2 linked regions of the Notamacropus eugenii genome follow. The protein of the gene in region 1 purifies or fractionates together with the protein of each later gene. This does not show direct contact. Links are inferred from orthologs where the notes say so. Each region holds a gene or a part of one and is shown on either strand. Other genes may lie near its edges. The genes, in order: KLF11 and SIN3A.

Evidence for each region.
Region 2: the proteins of KLF11 (region 1) and SIN3A purify together in Homo sapiens (affinity purification with western blotting, with the first as the bait; 3 studies listed by BioGRID). This does not show direct contact. The link is inferred for Notamacropus eugenii from reciprocal best matches to the Homo sapiens genes KLF11 and SIN3A.

The regions. Positions count from the first base shown.
Region 1 is NC_092872.1:548,763,070-548,773,330, forward strand, and holds the start of KLF11 (Krueppel-like factor 11), read right to left. Parts: upstream 4,279-10,261; 5' UTR 4,066-4,278; coding exon 4,024-4,065; intron 24-4,023; coding exon 1-23. UniProt on the Homo sapiens protein: Transcription factor. Activates the epsilon- and gamma-globin gene promoters and, to a much lower degree, the beta-globin gene and represses promoters containing SP1-like binding inhibiting cell growth.
Region 2 is NC_092872.1:240,366,573-240,376,690, reverse strand, and holds the start of SIN3A (paired amphipathic helix protein Sin3a), read right to left. Parts: upstream 4,958-10,118; 5' UTR 4,908-4,957; intron 1,581-4,907; exon of another isoform or gene 1,269-1,580; intron 1-1,268. UniProt on the Homo sapiens protein: Acts as a transcriptional repressor. Corepressor for REST. Interacts with MXI1 to repress MYC responsive genes and antagonize MYC oncogenic activities. Also interacts with MXD1-MAX heterodimers to repress transcription by tethering SIN3A to DNA.

The sequences.
Region 1 (10,261 bases):
TCACATATGTCCATGATGTCAACCTGAAGAGAAACAAATCACAATGAATTTGGTTTCTTTTAGTTGAATAATTTTTGAGGAATTATGGCAGAAAAGAAGGAACACTGTCCTAGGTAAAAATTTCAGCTTTGCTAACTATTACTCGGTTTCCTCTTTTGAAAAATGGGAGTGAGGAACTGTAACTATATGATCTCTATGTTCATTCAGTTCCATATCTGCTATTGTACAATCATTATTATACACATGAATATGCCCACCAACACCAGAACCCTTTGTCTATTACAAAAGGCTAAAACAGATTCCATTTCCTATTAAGTTTCTTTCCTTTTAAATCACATTTTGTAAGTGGGATTTTACTTTCTCTTTTCAAAACCATAGCTGGAAAAGAAAAAAATGCAGTTAAAAAAGAAAGGCACTCTCATCTGTGAAGCACAGTGATTTCTAGAAAATATTTTTTAAATAAAATACGTATTTTTCAGAGTAAATGACTAAAACCTCAATCACAGAAGTAAAAGCCAGAACCAGAGCATCAACTGAAACAACCATCCTCAGTGTAGAAGACTGAGTTAACCCCCTACTAATGGTGAATTTCAACACAGCACCTTCACCAATGGGTACTTACAAGGTAGGTAAGGTATTATTAGGCCCATTTTATAAACAGGGAAATTGAAAATGGGGAAAAATGTTTTAAGTAACCCAAACTCACCTTGCTAGTAAGTGGTAGGGGCAAGATTTGAACTCAGGTTTTTTTCTAAGTTTGAGTACTATACCATGTTGCCTACTCACAGAGTTAACTGAGACCCATGTCAGTTCAATGATTTATACCTAGTCATACAGCTAAGAAGTAGAGCCAAGGAAGAGTCTGGGGGACTGGAACCCAGATTTCCTACATTACAATGTCATAATTCTTCCCACTGTGCTCTCTTCCCCACCCTCCTACCTCTCAATACTTGTAAGAATCAGACGTTTGAACCTTAGAGATCCTGGAGTCAAATCTCCTCACTTTATCTCAGGAACTGAGACATCTTTCAAACAAACTCAAGAAATCAAAGTAGGCCTTTTCCTGAACACAGGCTTGTGATAACACCACTAATCAAAAATTCTGTCAGAGGTTTCTGAGGTTGAAAGGACTGAAGAGATCATCTAGCCCAAGTCCCTTCCTCCAATTTTATGAAAAAATCGTAACCCATTGAGGGGATGTGACAGATGCAGGGCAGGAATTAATAAAATCCAAGTTGTCTAACTGAAGATCCAGGGCTCTTTGCTTAAAGTATAAGTACCTACTCACAACCTCAAGCAAAGACTTCAAGACCTTGCTGCTTTCCCCAAAAGGCCCCCTTTTCCAAGCTGTACTTGTAACAGCAATAACCATGCTAACCCAGGCACTCAACAGAAATGTCAACCTAGAACCAAAGGAAAGCAATCTGTGAACAAATCCTTTCTGCCCCTGAATCACACAAGCCTCCACCAAAAACACTTTAACACTCCTTTAAATGATCTTAGCACTATGGGGTGAAGTCTATAAAACCCCAACGCATCCCCAATCCTAAATACAAATCCATATATTTCAGAACCACTATCCCGTTCTATTAGCCAAGAGGATGAAGCTAGTAAAACTAGCAATCTACTAAGAGAATCAGACAGACCCTTAGGGGACTTGCTGGGAGGGAAAGTGGAACAGGATGAAATGCCAGGTTTTCCAGAAACCCCTTATGGTATGTAAATACCTTTTGGAATCTGAGTTTTCTTAGTATCTCTGGCTATTGAGTAGCCCAGCTGTATTCAGCCTGGGAGAGGTAAAGCTAGAAAGGTAGGTGGGAATTAGACTTTGGACTTCATTTGGTGGAAGGTAACTATAGTGCCAAGACACTGTGTTAGGCACTGGGGACTTATAACAAAAATCAGTTCCTGCCCACAAACAGCTTTTATTCATATTAAGATCCCTAGACCTAAGGTCAGAAAACATGAGTTTGAGATCTCATTCCGTAGATCCTCATCCAATCCACAGCACTGAGTGGACTATGTGACCTGAGGTCTTTTTTCCAACTCTGAGATTCTACAGCTCCAAATAGCAAAACTAGAAGCAGCAAAGGATGGAAACTGTTGAGGCAGATTTTGAATAAGGAATAACTTATTAACAATGAGAGCCGGCCAAAAGAGGAATGGCTTCCTGGAAAGGCAATGAATTTCCTCCCCCTCTCCCCTTTTGGAGGGACTTAAATCAAAGGTTGGATGACTACTTCTCAACGACAGGTACTGTATTCAGATGTTGGGTTAAGAGCTCAGGTTAAGGAGACTCGAGGCCCTTGGGATTTGTGGGAAGATTTCAGGGGATCCATAAATTGGATGGGGAAAAAATTACATCTTTATTTTTACGAACCTCTAACCAACATTTAGCGTTTCTTTTCATTCTGAGTTAAAACAAAACATTAGTGCTCTAAGAAGGTGTCCATAGGTTTCACAGGGGACTATAAAAAAAAGAAAAGTTAAGAACCTCTACAGCAGAGCATCCATACTGTAAAGGTTGCGCTAGCTAGCTGCTGAAGTAAAGGCAGTTTAATACAGCATAGTATAATAAAAAGACAGATGGATTCCTAGTTAGGACCTGGTTCATTCCCCAGGTCTACTTGTTATCTGCTTTCTTCAGCGTGTCTTCCATAGGCTTCTTTCTTTCCTCACCTACAAAATAAAGGGTTGGACTAGATGACCTCCAAGATCCCCTCCAACTCTAAATCTATGATCTCTTAAATTCCTTCCGGCTATAATTTTTTGGGATTTTAAGAACTGCAGTCTTTGCTCTTCCAAAAACTAACTGAACGACCCCAGGCGAGTCATTGGGTCTCTCGGGGTCACAGTTATCCATTAGTAGAATTCGGGGGTAAGGGAACCCCACTGCCCTGCTGTAAACCCTTCACCGTCCACCTAAGACAGCCCCAAAGTTAACTTCTTTGTGCCGTGGGCCCTTTGCTAACACCCACGGACCCACTCTCAGAATGTTTTTAAAATGCATAAAACACCTCCAGGATTACAGAAGAGACAAATTCTACCGAAACAGTTTTCAAAACATTAAATACAAAGCCAAAACCAACTTCACAGACCCAAGGATAAGAGAGGGACCCCTGACCTAGCTTTTTTGGGGGGGAGCTTTTAGCCCCTCCCGGGCAAAAAGACAAACAGAGAAAGTGACCTTTCTTTCCAAGCTCATTTTTCCCGAAAGGGGAGTGGGCGTAGGTCTTCCCTCTCCCCAGTCCGGTCAAGTCCCACTGGTCTTTTCAACCTAAAAGCCCCAAAACCCAACTCCCCACCAACCTCCGGCCAGAGCCCCCGGAGTGAGGAAGTCTCGCTCTGCCCTGGAGGAGGGGCCCCTTGAACCCCACCTCCCCGGCCCCGCCCCAGACACCACCCACTCCCTACAAGGGCACGGTGACGTCATGGGTGGGCTAGGCTGGGGCCCCGTAGGCAGACCCTGCGATTCGGGGGGAGGGAAAAAATGGGAGACTGAGTCCGGCATCCAGGACCGCCCCCTCCCCGCCAGCCCGGGCCGGAAGCCCCATCTCCAATTCCGAGACCCGGCAAGGCGCGACCCCGAACCCGAAGGGGTTGTCCACACCCCTAGTCCCTCCCGAGGCCAGAGGCCTCCCCGGGCGCCCGCCCGGAGGTTGCACTGGGACGGTCAGGACTGCCAGCACGCCCTGCCCCGCCCCGGGCACCTAACGGGACTAGGCTGGCAGCGGGATCTCACCCACCCCGCACCCGCCTTCCCCGCCCGGCAAGCCCCCCACGCGCACACCCACCCAGTCCCAGGCGGAAGGGGGTGTGAGCACCGAGAGCGAATGAAAGCGGCTGCACGCGCACAGCCCCCTCCCAAAGCCAAGCCCCGGCCCGCCCGGGACGCCCCTGCGCCCAGGCTGGGGGACAGGAGGCTGAGCGAGTATCCTCCCCCCCCCCAAAAAAGCAAAAAACCCGAGCGGGTCCACGATCCCCACCAGCCAACTTGACGGCCAGCCCAGCCGGGAAACTCACCGCGAACGCATCTCCCGGGCTGGCCGTGCCGGCAGTGTGCATGGCGAGGGAGGTCGGGGAGCGGCGAAGCCGGCGCGAGCTGAGACCCTCCTGCCCGGGCGGCTGCGGCACATGTGGGAAGCGGGCGGCAGCTCTCCGAAACCCTGCACGGACTCCGGGAGAGCGGCCGGCGAGGATCCCCGGGCCGGGCGCGCGCCTCCGCCAGCCCGCCCGCCTGCCCGCCAGCGCACACGGCTCCGCCCAGGCCACGGCCCTCGACGCGCTGGGAGGGGAGGAGAAGGGGTGGGGAAGGAGGAGGGCGCGAAGAGGCCCGGGAGCGAGGGCGGGGCTCACAGGCGAACCAAAATACGGCGCGCCCCGCCGCGGAGGCTACGGGCAACGGCTGGGCCAATCGTGTGCGATCTAGTAAGCGCCGGACCAATGAGGGTGGCCGGGCGACGCGTGATCGGAGCCTGGTCCCGGCGTGATCAGGGGGCGGGGTGCGGGCACGTGTTTGTGTCGAGGAGGGATTGGGCGGGGCTGGGAGAGAAGAGTCCTGGAGAAGAGAGGGAGGCGGGAGAACCGAACCGAGGAGAGTGGGCGGGGCTTGGAGGGGAAAACCTAGGGGAGTGGAGGGGGAGGGCGGAAGAACTGAATCGCCGGGTGGAAAGTAGGGGAAAGGTCTCGGCGGCGACAGCGGCGGCGGCGGCCTGGGCGGCGGCGGCGGCGGCCGGGGATGTCCCTGCGGCGCGCAGGGGGCGGGATGGAGGCGGGGCAGCGGCGCGTATTAAAGGGGCCACGTCGGCCTGCCCCCTCTCCTTTCTGGTTGCTTTCTCCTGCTGGCCTGGGGTTCGGTTTAAGCCGTGTGGACTGCCAACGTGAGGTATTTTGGGATACATAGTATAAAAATAGACCAGTAACCTACATTCTTTGTCCTAAAGTGAAATTAACCCTGCACGTCGATGCTTCCCACAGCTCTTTCAAGACACACCGGCTGGCTATCAGTTGCATTTGTGGCGCTGACACATGAACATTTATTAAGCGCCTACTACGTACCAGGCTCTGTGCTGAGAGCCGAGATACCAATGGGCAAAACAGCCCCTGCCCTCCAGGAAGGAGCCATCTAAGGAGGCAGCCCAGAGCCAGCGTCTACAAAGTTACATGCAAGAGAAAGAGGGAGTGATGAAAAGGAGGAGGGCGATAGAAGAATTAAGAGGGGCTTGTGCAGAGGGGAGCGCCCCCCAGATCTGCCCCTGGTGATTCCTGCCATCTCCAGCCCCTTCCCCCTCTCTGATAGGTCCGCAGTCTGTGCACACGCCCCTTAGACCGAGGAGGAAACTGACGAACAGAGAGGGAAAGGGAGCCACCTGAACCGCGAGACTTGACTCGTGGTCCGAGGCTTCTTGCTTTATCATCTGAGACATCCCCCTCCACCCAAAAAGGGATTTAAATGTTCAGGGTCTAGGAGATTCAGATTTTGAGTGCCTCGTGTCTTGGCAGTTCTATCAGATCAGCAGCTCCATCCGTGCTCCCCAACAATTCATTGGCCACTTCTATTACAGGTGACTGATAATAAACATTAACCATCCTCCCCTCCACCTTAGGTACCTGTGGGAGTGATCAAAGTAGAGCCCTCACCATCACCCAAAACTAAGGCCCCTTCATGACCAGATTCTCCAGTCCTTGCAGCTTTCTGTCCTACTCTAGCAAAGATAGAGCCACATGACTAATCCCTTTAAAATTCGGAACCAGTTTTTTTCTGGATTGAATAATCTGAGATATGCAGTATGACCCTGTCTTTACAGTGAAACAAGTCCTTATCTACCTTTACTTTCCAATTCTGAACATGGTTGTCACCCCTAGTAGAAGGTAAACCTCCAGAGATCAGAGATTATTTAGGTTTCATCCTTGTATTTATTCAGAAGAAAAAGGCAGTTATTAAATGCTTCCAGAAATTGAAAGGAAAAGTGGCTGGCATAAGGTCGTTAAGATAAATTAATTAATAGAACCCTCTTTCTTCATCCAAGGATGTTTGTTGGGCTACTTTTTGGCCCCAAGAAGCAAGACAACTCCACATCTCTTCTCACCCTTTCTAGTTCAGAAGCTAAGATCAAATGAACACTTCAGCCACTGCGGAAAAGGTTTGTGCATAAGAAACCATTCACAATCTCCCCTAACTTTCCAAACCAAAATGTACCCCCTGGCTATTACTCTCCAATATGTATTTTCTCCCTCTATTCTAATGTAAATTCAATAAAGGAAGCAACTATCTAGCTTTTGATTTTATATTGCCAGCACTTAGTACAAAGATCTACATCTATTAAAGCTTAATAATTGCCTTTTTTTATTCATTCATTCTTAGATTTAAAGTTGGAAGGCTTTTGAAGGATCATTTAGTTTAACCCCCTTATTTTTAAGATAGGCCCAGTGCCTTTCACATACTACCTCTCCCCACACTCATCCCTTTCCATTTTAGCCCCATCCCTCTGGAACCCCTGTCGTCTACTTTCATCTTCCGTTGTAGCCTCTGGAACCCCCATTTTTTTGCTAACAAACATTCCTTTGCTTTGACCTCTCTCCTTCCATCTTCTGCCTCTCAGCAGAGAAACTTTGTCCTTGTAGTTTTGGTTGCTCTTTCTCTCTGGCTTCCAGGATATGTTGGGCAAGTAGGTACTAGACTTCTGCTGTGAGGTTCATTTCATTCATCTTCCTATCTCAATCCAGATCCCTGTTCCTTTCATCTACCAGGCCCCAGGTGACTCTCTCTCATTTCTCAAAGACTCTGCCTTCCTCACTAACTCTTATTACTTGTCTTCATTATTGGTGACATCAGTATCCATTAAGAGAATGCTCTGCATTCTCAGTTAATTTACCCCATCAACTCCTAAGACCTAGCCTTACCTCTACCTCTACATTTCCGCAGGATCCTTTGCCCTTCTCATTGGACTCTGACTTCAAAGGAGGGCTGTGGGTTCTAGGGCCTTGATTTAAAAAGGGGCCCAGCATAGTTTTTCTCCCCTTTGCCCCAGAGCTACATAGCTTTCAGAATTCTTGGAAACTCTCCATCCAAGCCTTCAAGCCAAGTAGCTTCTCCCACCCACTTTTCACCTTCCTTTTGTGTGTTATCTTTCCCCTTTAGACTGTAAGGGCAGAGATTGTCTTTAGTTTTGGATACAAAACCTGTGCTTACTTCAGCTCCAGGCCTATTGTAAGCACTTTATAAATGTTTCTCGACTAACCTCTCTTCTACCTGAGGTACCAAAGGAGAGATCACTGGGGAGACCTCACCATCACTCCAAACTGAGGCCCCTTCATGACCGAATTCTTCAGTCCTTCCAGCTTTCTCTCTAATCCCTTTATATATATATATATATATATATCAAGTTTCTCCCTGATTGAATTAGCTCGGATCTGCAGTATGACCCTGTCTTTACAGTTAACTCCTTATCTACCTTTACTTTACTTTCTTTACTTGTTGGTAAACTCTAGTAGTAACTTGAAAAGGCTACAAGCCAAGACCGAAGTGGAGGGAATGTTGGTGCACAATTTTGTGTTTGTAGATGATTGTGCACTCAATGTAGTCTCTGAAACTGAGATGCAACAAAGTATGGATCAATTCTCAGCTGCTTGTGCTAATTTTGACCTAATAATTAACACCAAGAAAACGCCACCACCACACCATCCATATGTAGAATTATCAGTTATAGTGAATGGAGAAGTTTTAAATGCTGTGTATATGTTCATTTACCTTGGTGGTATGCTTTCCAGGGATGTACACATTGATAATGAGGTTGACACAAGAATGGCCAGAGCTAGCTCAGTGTTTGGGAGGCTCCAAAGGAAAGTATGGGAGAGAAGAGGTATTAGACTGACTATCAAACTGAAGGTCTACAGAGTGGTTGTGCTGACTTCATTGCTGTATGCCTGTGAAACATGAACAGTCTACCAGCACCACACTAAGAAACTGAATCACTTCCATTTGAACTCTTAGGAAGTTTCTGAATATCACCTGGCAGGATAAGGCACCAGACACTGTGGTCCTTGCTTGAACTCTGCTTCAGAGAGTACAACTCTGATGGGCTGGTCACGTTGCTCAAATGCAAAATGTACACTTGCCAGAAAGACTATTTTATGGAGAACTCACACAGGGCAAGGGATCACATGATGTTCAGAAGAAGCAATACAAGGACATTCTTAAGGTCTCTCTCAAGAACTTTGAAATTGATTGTGTGAAATAGGAGACACTGGCACAGGACTGCTCAGCATGGTGTTTTCACATCAGAGAAGGTGCTTGTGCTCTATGAGCAAAGCAGAATTGAGACAGCTCAAAGGAAACATAGGATGCACAAATTTATAATAACCACCCCAAACATTCAGACTATTTGTGCCAGACCTATGGTAGATCATTCTGTGCTCGTGTTGGTCTGATCAGCCACTGTCAGACACATTGAAACTTGATTCTACCATAGAAGTTTCATCTTGGAGAATGAAGGACAACAACTAGCTATCTGCCTTTACTTACTCTTTTCTATACTTGTTATAATATAACCCCTCATAGAAGGTATGTGTCCTGAGGTCAGGGATTATTTTGTTTGTCTTTTGATCCAGAGCAGCTGGCACAGCTAGTGGCTAGCTCTGATGAAGTGAGCAGTTACTAAATGCTTCCTGAATTGAAAGGAAAAGTGACTAGATTAAGATCATAAAGTAAATTATGGACTAGAAACCAGGTCTCCTAACTTAGTCCAAGAGTCTTTCTTCAGTGTAAGGATGCTTGTGGACTACTCTTAGCACCTAGAAACATTCATTTAGGGCAGCTAAGTGGTACAGATGAGGAAAGTGACGTCGAAGATCACAACTAGGTGACATCTCAGATCTGTTCCAGCTCTAGATTTATTATTCTAAGGATGTGACCCTGGAAAGTCATACCATATTCAAAGGAAGGAGAGGCAATAGTGTATTACATACAGAATTGATAAGATATTCGTGAGGAAATTCAGGAGAACATTTGGATAAAGATCAGCCGAGGGAAAAACAGAAGCACTGGTGTCATGGAGTATGCCACACATCACCTGGACAGAAAATAAATGAGGCATTCAAAAAATAGATCACAATTGTGGTAAGGAGGCTTAACATGATGGAGGTCTTTAACTATCCAGTCATCTGCTAGATCTCCCTGTGTACCAAAAGCAGAACAGCTAATGGTCTTGGATTGCATTAAGGATAACTTCACCCTTCAAAAGACAGAAGATCTAAATCCATTCTCACCAATCACTTAAGACTGATTGCTGAAATAGAATCAATGAGAATCTTACTAGAAAGTAACCACTACATTTTAGAATTTATGACCGAAGAAGAAAATTGGCATATGATTCTGGCATATCACCTAGAGCTGGGGAGAGCAGATTTCAAAGGTTCCTAGGAAGGCTAGGTCCTATATCATAGACAAAAATTCAACAGGATACATTAATGTAAGAAGCATCATAAGAAGTTCTCAAAAATTATTATCTGAAGATGCACATAGAGGTACTTACAGTGAGTAAGAAAAAGGGACTACTGTCATATAGAGACTAATGTGGATGTTCAGGGAAATCATCAATGAACTTGGATTTATTTTTATTTTTTGCCCTCCCACAAGGAATAGACAAAATAAGACAGAAAACAACCCCCAAACAACTCAAACCCAACCCTTCACTCTGTAAACTATTAAGCAAAAAAGCATTTTTTAAAAAATGATTTCAAATGATTTTACCTAAAACTTATGTTTACCTTTTATTATTTACTGATTGATTAAAGACTGGAAGACCATGTCCATTAATTTTAATATGGTAGCACTAACATGATCCTGTTGTATTCCAGTGCAGAGTTTTGAAAGATGTGTGCAGATTCTCAAAATAAGGTAGGGGCAGGAGAGAGGCTGTAATGTCAAAGAGGGTAAAGAGGTGGGGGTGGGGGTGTTTAAAAAGTGTCCAGCATCCTAAAACTCAGAAAGAGCTGAAACTGTCAAATATTATGTGCACCAGAAACCATTTTTCTGTTTTTGTATCTTTTTAAAATATATGATAGAGAAATAAGAAGGATTGAAGAAAGGAAGGAACCATTACACTGGGTAAATGGAATAATTATGAATGATACAGAAGAGCAAGACTTCTCTAACCTGATTTTGTTTGTTTTCTTTGACAAGGAGAATGACCTTTGTGCTGACAATGGAGCTCTCCACTTCATTTTTTCTGATTTTCTTCAGAACTCCCTGTAGTCTAGC
Region 2 (10,118 bases), about 310 Mb from region 1:
AGTTCTCAGTTTTAACAGATCACTGCAGACCGAATGGAAGTAGAGTAGGGTGGGGCCTAAAAAGAACACCAGTGCAATTCGATGGGAAGTGACTAATACACAGGGTCTCCCTGCGGATTTTGGGTCCCCCAGCGTGTGTAAAAACAAAGAGGTGAACAAGCTGCTCCATCTCCACAGGGAGAGGACTCAGAGGTCTCGGCTGGAGAGGCCCCACTGGAGGACAGATGGGGCAGTTGGAGTCCAGATACCTGGACGGTGTCGGGGCCCGGGCGCCGGCTTCCGGCGGCAAAATGAGGGTCTGGAACACACCATCCAGCCCCCGCCCCCGCCTCGGGGAGGCCTTCGCACAACTCAGCTGGAGCTTTCTGCAACCGGGCCCAGAGAGGCAGGGACGGGCTCCGGCTGGTAGCCCTTATCAAGGGCAGCTCCGTCCCCGCAGGGCCTCGCACTGGGCTGCCCCTCTCCCCAGAACGTCCTTTTTACGCCCTGACCAGCGAGCGCTGCCGGGACTCCCGGGGCTCCCCCTCTGCAGGCCGCAGGAGTCCCCCGAGCCACGTCCTCGGGCCAGCCCCGCCCCCCGGGCGCCGAGGCTGGAAGGGGCGGCAGCGCGCGGCCCCCGGCGGAGGGCCCGGGCTTACGTCCAGCCGCCTTCCGAGACCGCGCCCGGGACTGGCCTACCCAGCCCCCATCGCGCCCAGGGAGGGCCTCCCGCGCCGAGGGCCGTGGCCGCCAAGGCTCCGCCCCCCGGGCCCCAAGCTCGAGCCCGGGGCGGCCGAGCCCCCGCCGACAGCACCTGGCGCGAGGCCGGCCCGGCCGGGACAGCACCCGGGCGCGCCCGGCTCCTCCCCGCCGGCGAAGCGGCGGCACGAGGGCCCGCCCCGCTCGGCGCGCACCGGCGCGACGCTAGCTCCCTCCTCCCTCCCTCCTCCCGCACAGGGAGCTCCCCGCTCCGCCCCTCACCTCCTCCGTCCCCCCCCCCCTCCGCGCGCGCGCGCGAGACACCCTCTCATACACACATACACACCCCGGTCGCCTGCTCTACGGGAAGCGCAGGGGGACAATCACCCGCCCCCCCCTCCGTACACACACCCCTTGAGTCCCTTCCCCACCCCCACATTTCACCCCGAGCCGCACAGCGAGTGGAGCCCTGCCCGCTCCTTCTCCCGGGCCCAGCGGGGTGTAAAGAGGGAGGCGGGCCGGGGAGAAGGGAGGGAAGGAGGGCGGGCTCCGCGCTTTCGCCCGCCTGACGGCCGGCCCCTCGCTCTCACCTCAAAGCTGCCTCGGCCGTTCACAAGTCTGTCCCGTCTCGGGCGGCGAGAGCTCCCGGGTTGCGCGGCGGCGGTGGTGGCGGTGGCAGTAGCGAGGGGGCGGGGAGGGGAGGCCGGAGCAGGGCTCTCGGCGCGGGGCCGGAGCGGACTGGCAGTCCCCCGGCGGGGACTGGGGCGCTCACGGGCCCCGCTCCCCAGCCGCAGCCAGACCCGGGGAGGGAAACTCCGAGGGGGGAGGGGAAGGGGGGGAAAGACGAAGAAACCGTCTCCGCTGCCGCTACCGCCGCGGCCGCTTCTCTGTTACCCGGGAAATCCCGCCCACTCCCCTTGCCCGCCCCGCTGAGGGGAGACCCAGTCCTACCGAGCGACAGGCTGCGTAGACTGTTCATCAGGTCCTTCACCAATCACTACTCCCGTCCAGCCTAAGGCCCGCCCCCACGCCCCCCCCACACACACCGCCGGGGGAGCCACTTACCTTCCCCACACCCCTATTGGCGGGGAGCTCCCCCAACTCAGACCCACCTATTGGAGGCTGCCAGTTGACTCCCGCCCACCCACCGCTAGGTCATTGGAGAAAACTAGGAGATTCTTTGCAACTTATTGGAGGAAGGCACGGAGCCCGCCCCACTCCTACTACCCCATTGGAAGATTACCTCAGCTCCCACCCCCCTAGCTACCTCATTGGAAGAAATTCTTCTTCCCTCCCCCCTCAGATCTTCTACCACCCTAGGAAGGTAACTGGTGCGGTGTAAAATGTCCGTAAATGAAACGGACCCCGCCCACCCCCACCGCCCCTGAGACCCCGCCCACCTCCCTCGGGATTGGATGAATTGTCATAGGATAGCACGGCTATTGGGCTGAAGACCTGTCCAGGAAGCAGCTAGCTCCGCCCCTGAACTAGGAGGCTGTGCCTCCTAAGACCTTTTGTGGAATGTTTACACTAGAGACTGAACCCTAGAGAATTCCGGGTTCCCGAGTTGAGGGGTGGCGCCAGCAATGGGGATCCCTGCTTAAAGAGGAGAGGCGGCAGCTTCTGGACTCCGTCCCCATCCGTGCACACAGAGGAGTAAGAAAAAAAATTAAGACGGCCCCTACTCTCTTAACCACCACCCCACCCACCTCCTTTGCAAATGCTTGCAACCTACAGCAAAGACCACAGTGTCACAAATGCAACCATCCAGTAGTGCTGCACTCAGCTAACTGGTTGCATCTAGACTAGGGGCACGCATCACGGAAGATTTAGTCTCCCCCATGACTTCTGTTTCACCCACCAAACCCCCAATATTGTACTGTTCAGGAAGGACGTAATTAAAAAGGCGAAATATCCTGAACCCTAAACAGACCCCTGTCACCCTAACAACTGTGGGAGAAAGCACTGATCCTCACAAGCTAAGCAAACAACCTGGCCCTCGTGCCAAAAATAAAAATCAAGCGGAGGAATGTCCATTGAAGCTGCCAGTTCGGGGTACAGAGAAAGGGGAAATGAGAAAAACCTCACATTTGGGAGTCTAATGCAGAAGGTCGCTTATAGTCCTCATCCACTTATCTACAACCCACTGCAAATAAAAGTGAAATGGGTTCACAAAGATCTTTTCTCTTCACGACTACCGCTATTTCCAAATACAACAACCTTTTAGTTGCCCAAAATTAGAATCCCATGAGGATGAGGTCGGGTTCAGAGAGCTGCACGTAGCCTATTTATTTCTATCGGGGGTGAGGAGGCGAGGGACACCCAGAGTGGCCTCCTCGGCTACGGGCGTGCCGCAGGTAAGCGAGTTTGTGATGGGCACTAAGCCCGCAACAACCGATTCTCGGTGGGAAACTACAGCGCGCTTTGTTCGCACGATGTGGTTTTCCGTGGCGTGTGGCCTGACACCCAGGAGCTGGGCTCGCTTGCCGCGGTTTCTGGTTCTGCTAGCTCCCTCCCTCCTTCAGCCTGAATGTTCTCAAACGTGGGATGGCAACAGGTGTGCCCGCCTCCCCGGCCCGTTCCCAACTGCTAAGGCACGGAGCGCGTCGGGAGGAACGCAAACTCTCTCCGGGAGCTCCCAACAGGTGACCTGGAGGATCCGGGCCGCCGAGGCGGGAGCTGGCCCGAAGCGAGATCAAGCCCAGACCGAGCGGGGGTTCCAAGCTTTCCTGCCGACGCTCGGAGGCTGGAGGCGGCAGCCTTGGGACTCTCGGGCCAGAGAAAAAAGAGCCCCCGCAGCACTGCCGAGCTCGGGGCCAGGAGGAAGCCCCTCATCTTCCCACACCCACAGGGCGCGGCTCGGATTGACGCTATTCGCTTTGGCCCCGCCGGAGGCTCCGCACTGCAGAGCATCTGCAGGCAAGCCGGCTCAAGCAGGCCTAGCCCTAGCTCAAACCCAGGAGGGTGCACAGCCCTCGACTTCCGGGAGGGCGGCCTGGGGCGGGCCTCCCACGTGTGGGGCAGGGGAGGGGGCGCACCCTACTGTTCCTCACGCTCTCCTCCCCCCGCAGGTAGGCGGGCCACCCCATCAGCCAATCCACTTCGACGCTGAGTCCCTCTAGCCTTAACTCATCCAGCTTCCGGGGCTGGGGGAGGGGGAGAAACCTAGCAACTTGAACCAGAGCCAGGCTTTGCGATAGGAGGAGTTGGCGGAGGGAGAGCAAGAACCAATAGAGAACTAGGAGGGGGGGGGGAAAATGGAGTCGTTCTCAGTCAATAGGAAACAAGAGGGGGCGGGTTCAGTCTTGCAGCCGGAATGGGGAGGGAAGGCGAGGGAGGAGAGAATGAGCGGCCCCGCCCCCTGCGCGCCCCCGGTTGCCCAAGCCAACGCCAGAACAGGTTGTAAACAGGCCGGGTCCCGGAGTGGAGGAAGCGAAGCCTCCCCTCTCCCCGAGCCTGCCGGGCCGGCAGCCCCGCCCACCGCGGGCCGGACGCGGCGGCGCACAGCTGACAGCGCCCCTCCCCCTCCCTCACAGGCTCCGCCCCCCGCGCACTGATGCATTTCCTCTTCCCGAGTCCCAGCGTGTGGAGTCGGGTCTGCCCGCTCGCTCGCTCCCGACCTTCACCGCCCCCTTTCCTGCCTCCGCTGCCCCGCGCCCGTCCCCCGCTGCTCCCCGCTCTCCGGGCCGTCCCCGTGGGACGCTCCCCGAGCTCGAGGGCCGAACGCGGGCCCGGCGGGTTCGGACGTGGAGCAGGATGCCCGCTCGCCGGGGCTGGCCCCGGGACTCGGGTCTTGGGACGTCCGTCTGCGCAGGCTGAGGGGCTGGGAGTCCTGCCCGCGGGCTGTCGGGCCCACGAACGTCCGCGGCCCGGAGCAGTCTGGGGCTCTCCGAGCGCCCACTGCAGCCCCCTCCCCCCAGCCCGCGGTCAAGTTCACGGGCAGCCGGAGGGGCGGTGATCCTCTAAGAGAACCACGCCCGGCCCTAGCCGGCTCCCTTCAAACCCAGGACGGCGGACGCCCCCAGACCTCCTCCGGCGGGCGGACGGAGACCCCTGAGGGGGCCAGCGACCCCCCACCCCCGCCTCGCCAGTCCAGGCGGGGAGGCCCGGCCCTCCCGCCCCCCAGCGCCGAGCCTCCTCTCGCCCTGCGCCCCTTAGACCTAGACACCACACCCCCGAAATGCCCGATATTGGGGGGGGTACTGAATGGAAAGCAGCTGTTCACATACCCTCAAAGCCCAGGCGAGGAGTCCTGAATGGGTGGGAACGCCCCCCAAACAGGATTGGCCACACGCAGGGTTGACGTCACCAGAGCCCGCCTCCCTCCCCTTTTCCCCTCCCCTTCCCGCGCTGCACCACTCCCCCGCTTCCAAAATTCAGATTCGCTCTCGGGGGCCGTCGCCGGCCCGCCCGCCTTCGCGCTCCGCCTGTGCTTCACGCGGGCCCGGGCGCTCCTAGAGGAGGGGGCGCGAGGAGCGGTGTGGGGGCAGCCCCGCCCCGGTGCGATCTGGGCAGGGGACTGCCGAGCCAAGCAGTTCCGTGGTCCCGGGGTCCGCGAGCCAATCAGGACTTTGCCCATCCTCATTCCGGGCTGTCCGGAAAGCTCAGACTGGTCAGACCCACGCTGTGCCTTGTGTGCCCCAGTTACCAGAGATCTGGGGGCTCACCTTCCTAGGCTGTGAAGTGATGGGCCAGCGTGAGACCACCTTCAAAGGCTCCTCCAGCTCTAGATCTGTGATCCTCGTTTGGTCCTTCCTGTTAATAGCAGGGGCTCTGTCTGCTTTCAACTTTAGACCTTCTAGTGTGGCCCAGTGCATGCAGTTGGTATTTAATGGTTGTTGAAGCTACCAAGAGTGGCATCCATTGCGTTTACTGGAGACATACAAAGATGGCTCCTTGATTCCTAATAGTTCACAGACTAATATGAGAGTTACTTGTGAATAGAGCTATACCTCAGTTTCTGTATCTATAAACTGATGGTCGTGCACTAGGTAATGTTCAGGGTCCTTTCCAACTCTAAATCTGTAATCTTTTCTTTTATCCCTATTAGACTGTAAGATACTTGAGCACAAAGCCCCCCTGCCCACTTTCGTCTTTATTCCCGTACTGCCTAGTGCAGAACAGCACCCTTCATCTCAGCCACCAGTACAAAGCAAGGAAGACATCCTCTTTTATCCTCTTTTTCCTCCTTTCCATCCCTCTCCCAAGGCAAAGTAGGGTCTTGACCACCCTTCACATGAAGAGCTCTGCCTAACCTTTAAACCAAATGGAAGCAGAAAGAATCAAGCCTGCCTCAGGCAGTCAATAAACATTTATTAAGTGCCTACTGTGTACCAGGTACTGGGCCAAGACCAGGGTTTCAGTGGCGTGGCCAGGCCAGCCAAGGGTCTGTCTTTCCTGGTGCATGGACTCTAGTCCTATTCCAAGCTTTCTTTATCACTGGTAGTTTTCCTCCCCTCCTTGTGTTTACTAGCTACTTTATAATACAGTAAGTTCTTATTAAGCACCTACTTTGTCCCAAGAAATGAGAGGGAGATGGTGGGTAGAGACCTGACCTTGAAGCCAGGAAGGCCCTGACTGAGCAAATCACCTAATCTTTCAGTGCTACAGGCAACTTTCTGTGTCAGGGTCTTGGGTCCACAAGCTACTTGGAGATTTCGGAGACAGGAGCCATGAACTTGGATGGAAAGAAAAATTACATCTTTATTTTCACCAACCTCTAACTGAAATTTTAATTTCCTTCAAGTACTAAGAACATAATTCTGAGAAGGGGTCCACAGGCCTTATCAGATTGCAGCTAAGAACTGCTGCTCTAAGACAGAAAATTGAAGCTAAGGTGCCAACCTGCATTCTAGAGGGATGTCCTCACTCAGGATCCCCCATCCCAAAGAAATCTAAGGCCACCTCCTCTTCCTGTCCCTATTTGTCAGGCATTATGCTAGGTATGGAGGACACAGACAAATAGTTCCAGCCCTCAGGGAGCTTATCTTCTACTTAGAACCCAGGACAATACACAGATGAGTAAATGCAAAATATATACTGAAGAAATACAAAAGTTGGGGGGAGGGAGCAGAGTTTTTCCAGTTTGGGAATCATGAAAGGCTACCTACTGATGGTGATCCCTGAGCAAAACCGTGAAGGAAATTAGAAATTCCAAGAGACCAGAAGGGAAATCCCCAAACTGCCTTAAATTTAGGCAAATTGGAGCAAGTGAATGCTAAAGCAGGAATGGTAGTGGCTTTAGGTGAGGGGGAAAAAGAGAGAGAGGACCTTTCCCTGTGGACCTTTAGGTGAGGTGAGGTCAGATAGCGAACAGCAAGGGCTTCAATCCTAGGAGAACTTTTAAGGTCACCCTGGCTGCTGGAGGCCCTGGAAGAGCTGTCTAGTCCTTCCTGTGGCCTGAGGATAGTGTATACATATAACTGCCAACAGGAAAAATTTCTCGGAACCCTGAGAAAAGGGCTAAACAACCTGCCCAAAGCACTTTGAGATTCCAGTGGAGGATGCTTTTTGCCAAAGGGGCAGTTGGAAAAGTGGAATGAAGAGGAAGGACTTCTGGCTTTAATCTCTTAAAGCCAAGCTGTAGAAGACAGCAAGACTTGTCCCAGTCTGGGCTCCTCTGGGCCCAGATCACAGGAAAAAGACCAATGTGGCCTGAGCTTGTCCTCTGTCCTCCAGCTAAAAAAAAGAGGGAGGAGTGATTTGCTGTCCTCCAGACCCAGGCTTGTCCCATCTAATACAGCTATCTAATCACCACTTGCTTTGACTTTCAGGTGCTTTCTTTTCCTTAAAGAAAATCAGCAGCTTGGAGTTCATGGGAGTGAGGGTAAAGGAGGGGGATAGCAAATAGACAGACAGGCTTAGCAAATCAGTGTCTTAATTCATAGAGTTCATATTGGCAGGGCTTCAACATCCCCAATCTGATTCAATTAGTAAACAAATATTTACTGAGCACACAGGTACAGAGACATGTAAGATATGCTCTCAAAAAGCCCACAAACTGGTTGAAGAGACAAAATTAACATGCCATACAACTTTATACAATAGCTCCCTGGAATCATCTTTGATCACTCCAGCCCTCACTGATATCCCTCTTTCTGAACTTCTCTGCTGTCTGTGGCATATTCTGAACTATTCATCATTTAATGATCCCATCTTGAGTTTGCCCATTATTTCATTCACTCTCCTCCATTCAAGTCCTCCTGCAATTCCTCACCAGGGTGTGTCAATGATGACTCACTATGCCAGCAGATCCACTAAGGCAGAATGGCTTGCCAGTGATGGTCTGCTGTCTGTGGACCAGCTTAAGCAAGTTCAGAGAGACATCACCAAGTTGGCCCATGGGTGATGAATTTCTTAGCTATCCCAGCTCTTCATATTATTTTCACATTACATTATAAGCTGGTTGCATCAAACCCCAAAACACTGCTGAGCCTCCTAGAAGAGCTCCATCATCACTAAAGTGAGTTTGGTTTGTGTGTTTACTCATGAAAGACTATCTGGAATAGTCACTCAGGTTATGATTTGTATTTGTTTGGAAACCTAGCTCTTGTCTGTCAGTATGTATATGGACAGATGGTACAAATGGACAAAGAGTTGAACTTTAAATGACTGGAGAGTAGGTTGAACTGCCTTCCAGAAACTGCAAAGCTCCAAACTCTCTTAGAAATAATACATAAATCCATTTAATCTTTTCAGTACCTGTAGTCTGTTGGTGTTATTGTGTGGCTTAAAGACATGGAACCCAACAATCTCAGAAGAAATAAAAAAAATATCCTGCCACAGAGGTCAGTGGAGAGGAATGTGGTGGGAAGAAACAAGCTGCAACATCTAACAAATGGAGAATTTTGGAGGAAAAAAGTAGTAAAAGATGTCATCAGAGAAATGGACAAAAGAAAAAGATGGGCTCGTTATGGGGCCAAGGTAAGGGATAAGAGAAGGAGAAGCATGTGAGTCTTCCACTGGCATCCTCAGGATTATCAGAAAAAAGGAAAGAGAGTCTATAGCTGTATGGTTGACAAACTTCTGTGCAGACAGGAACAGGAGCCCTCCAGTATGAGTACACAGAAATGGGGTAGAAGGAACACACATTCAGATCAGTGACTTTACAAATCCATTCTTTTGAGGACATATCTGAGCAATTCTTGAAGAATGGCTACCAGGATAGAGAGGGACCACAACCTTTTTATTGGAGGGGACAGCCATACCAATCACAGGTCCTTGGAATATTGAAATATTTCACATACTTTCTTATTGCCTCCATGTTTGAATCATCAGCTCTCTGAGGAAAAGGACTGTGTCTACCTATCTCTTTCTTTCCTTCACTAACGGCTAACACAGGGCTGGGCACAGGAAAACAATCACTAATTGTTTGAAGATTGAATGATACTGTCCTAACTGAATTAAAAAGGGACCTATCAGGAAGTTCTACTATGACAAATAAGGATGGAGAAAAAGCAGACTGTGTGGAATGTCAGAGAAAGGGGTGTAGAGTTTAGCTTATACCCTCTCCCAGTCTTTTTTTTTACAGTGCTACCAGACACCTCTTCACCCTGGAAGCCCTCACTACCCCTGGACTTCACACACTCGAATCATCCTCTATTCTGCGGTCTATCCCTCTCATTGGCTGGTTCCTTTCAGAACCTTCCTGTTAGGGAGGATACCCATGTTTCTTATTCTTCTCTAGATTGGACATTCTCTACAGTGAACTTCCTCTATAGTATGCCTTCTAACGTGCCCTCATCTTCTTCATTCTCTCCTTTTCAGCTCCATTTTATGATGTCTTCCTCCATTAGAATATAAGTTTCTTGAGGTCAAGAACTCGCTTTTCTTCTGCTTATACTTATATCCCTAGAGCTTAACATAGTGCCTGGCACATAATTGTTTTTGAATCATTTCAGTCATACCTGATTCTTTGTGACCCCATTTGAGATTTTCTTGGCAAAGATGCTGGAATGGTTTGCCATTTTCTTCTCCAGCTCATTTTACAGATGAGGAAACTAAGGCAGAGTTAAGTGATTTACCCAGGGTCATACAGCTAGTAAGTGTCTGAGACTGGATTTAAACTCAGGAAGACGAGTCTTCCTGATTTCAGGCCCAGTGCTTTATCCACTGTACCACCTAGCTGCTCTGGCACATGGTAAGTTTTAATAAATGCTTGTTAACTTGACTATAAATAACAAGAAGTGATTATGGTTTTCTGAACAGGAAAGTAATATAATTAAAGTGGTATTTTACGAAAATTATTCTGGTAGAGTTATGCATGATGGATTAGAGGCAGAGATTAGAAGAAGGAAGTCAGTGTATTCTAATAATCTAGGCCAGAAGTGAGAAGTATAAGAAGCAAGATGTTAGTCATACAAGCTGGGTTCTAATCCTGGCTTTGTTTCTTCCTAGATGACCTTGTACAACTTGGCTCATCTCTCTATAGCCCTTCATTC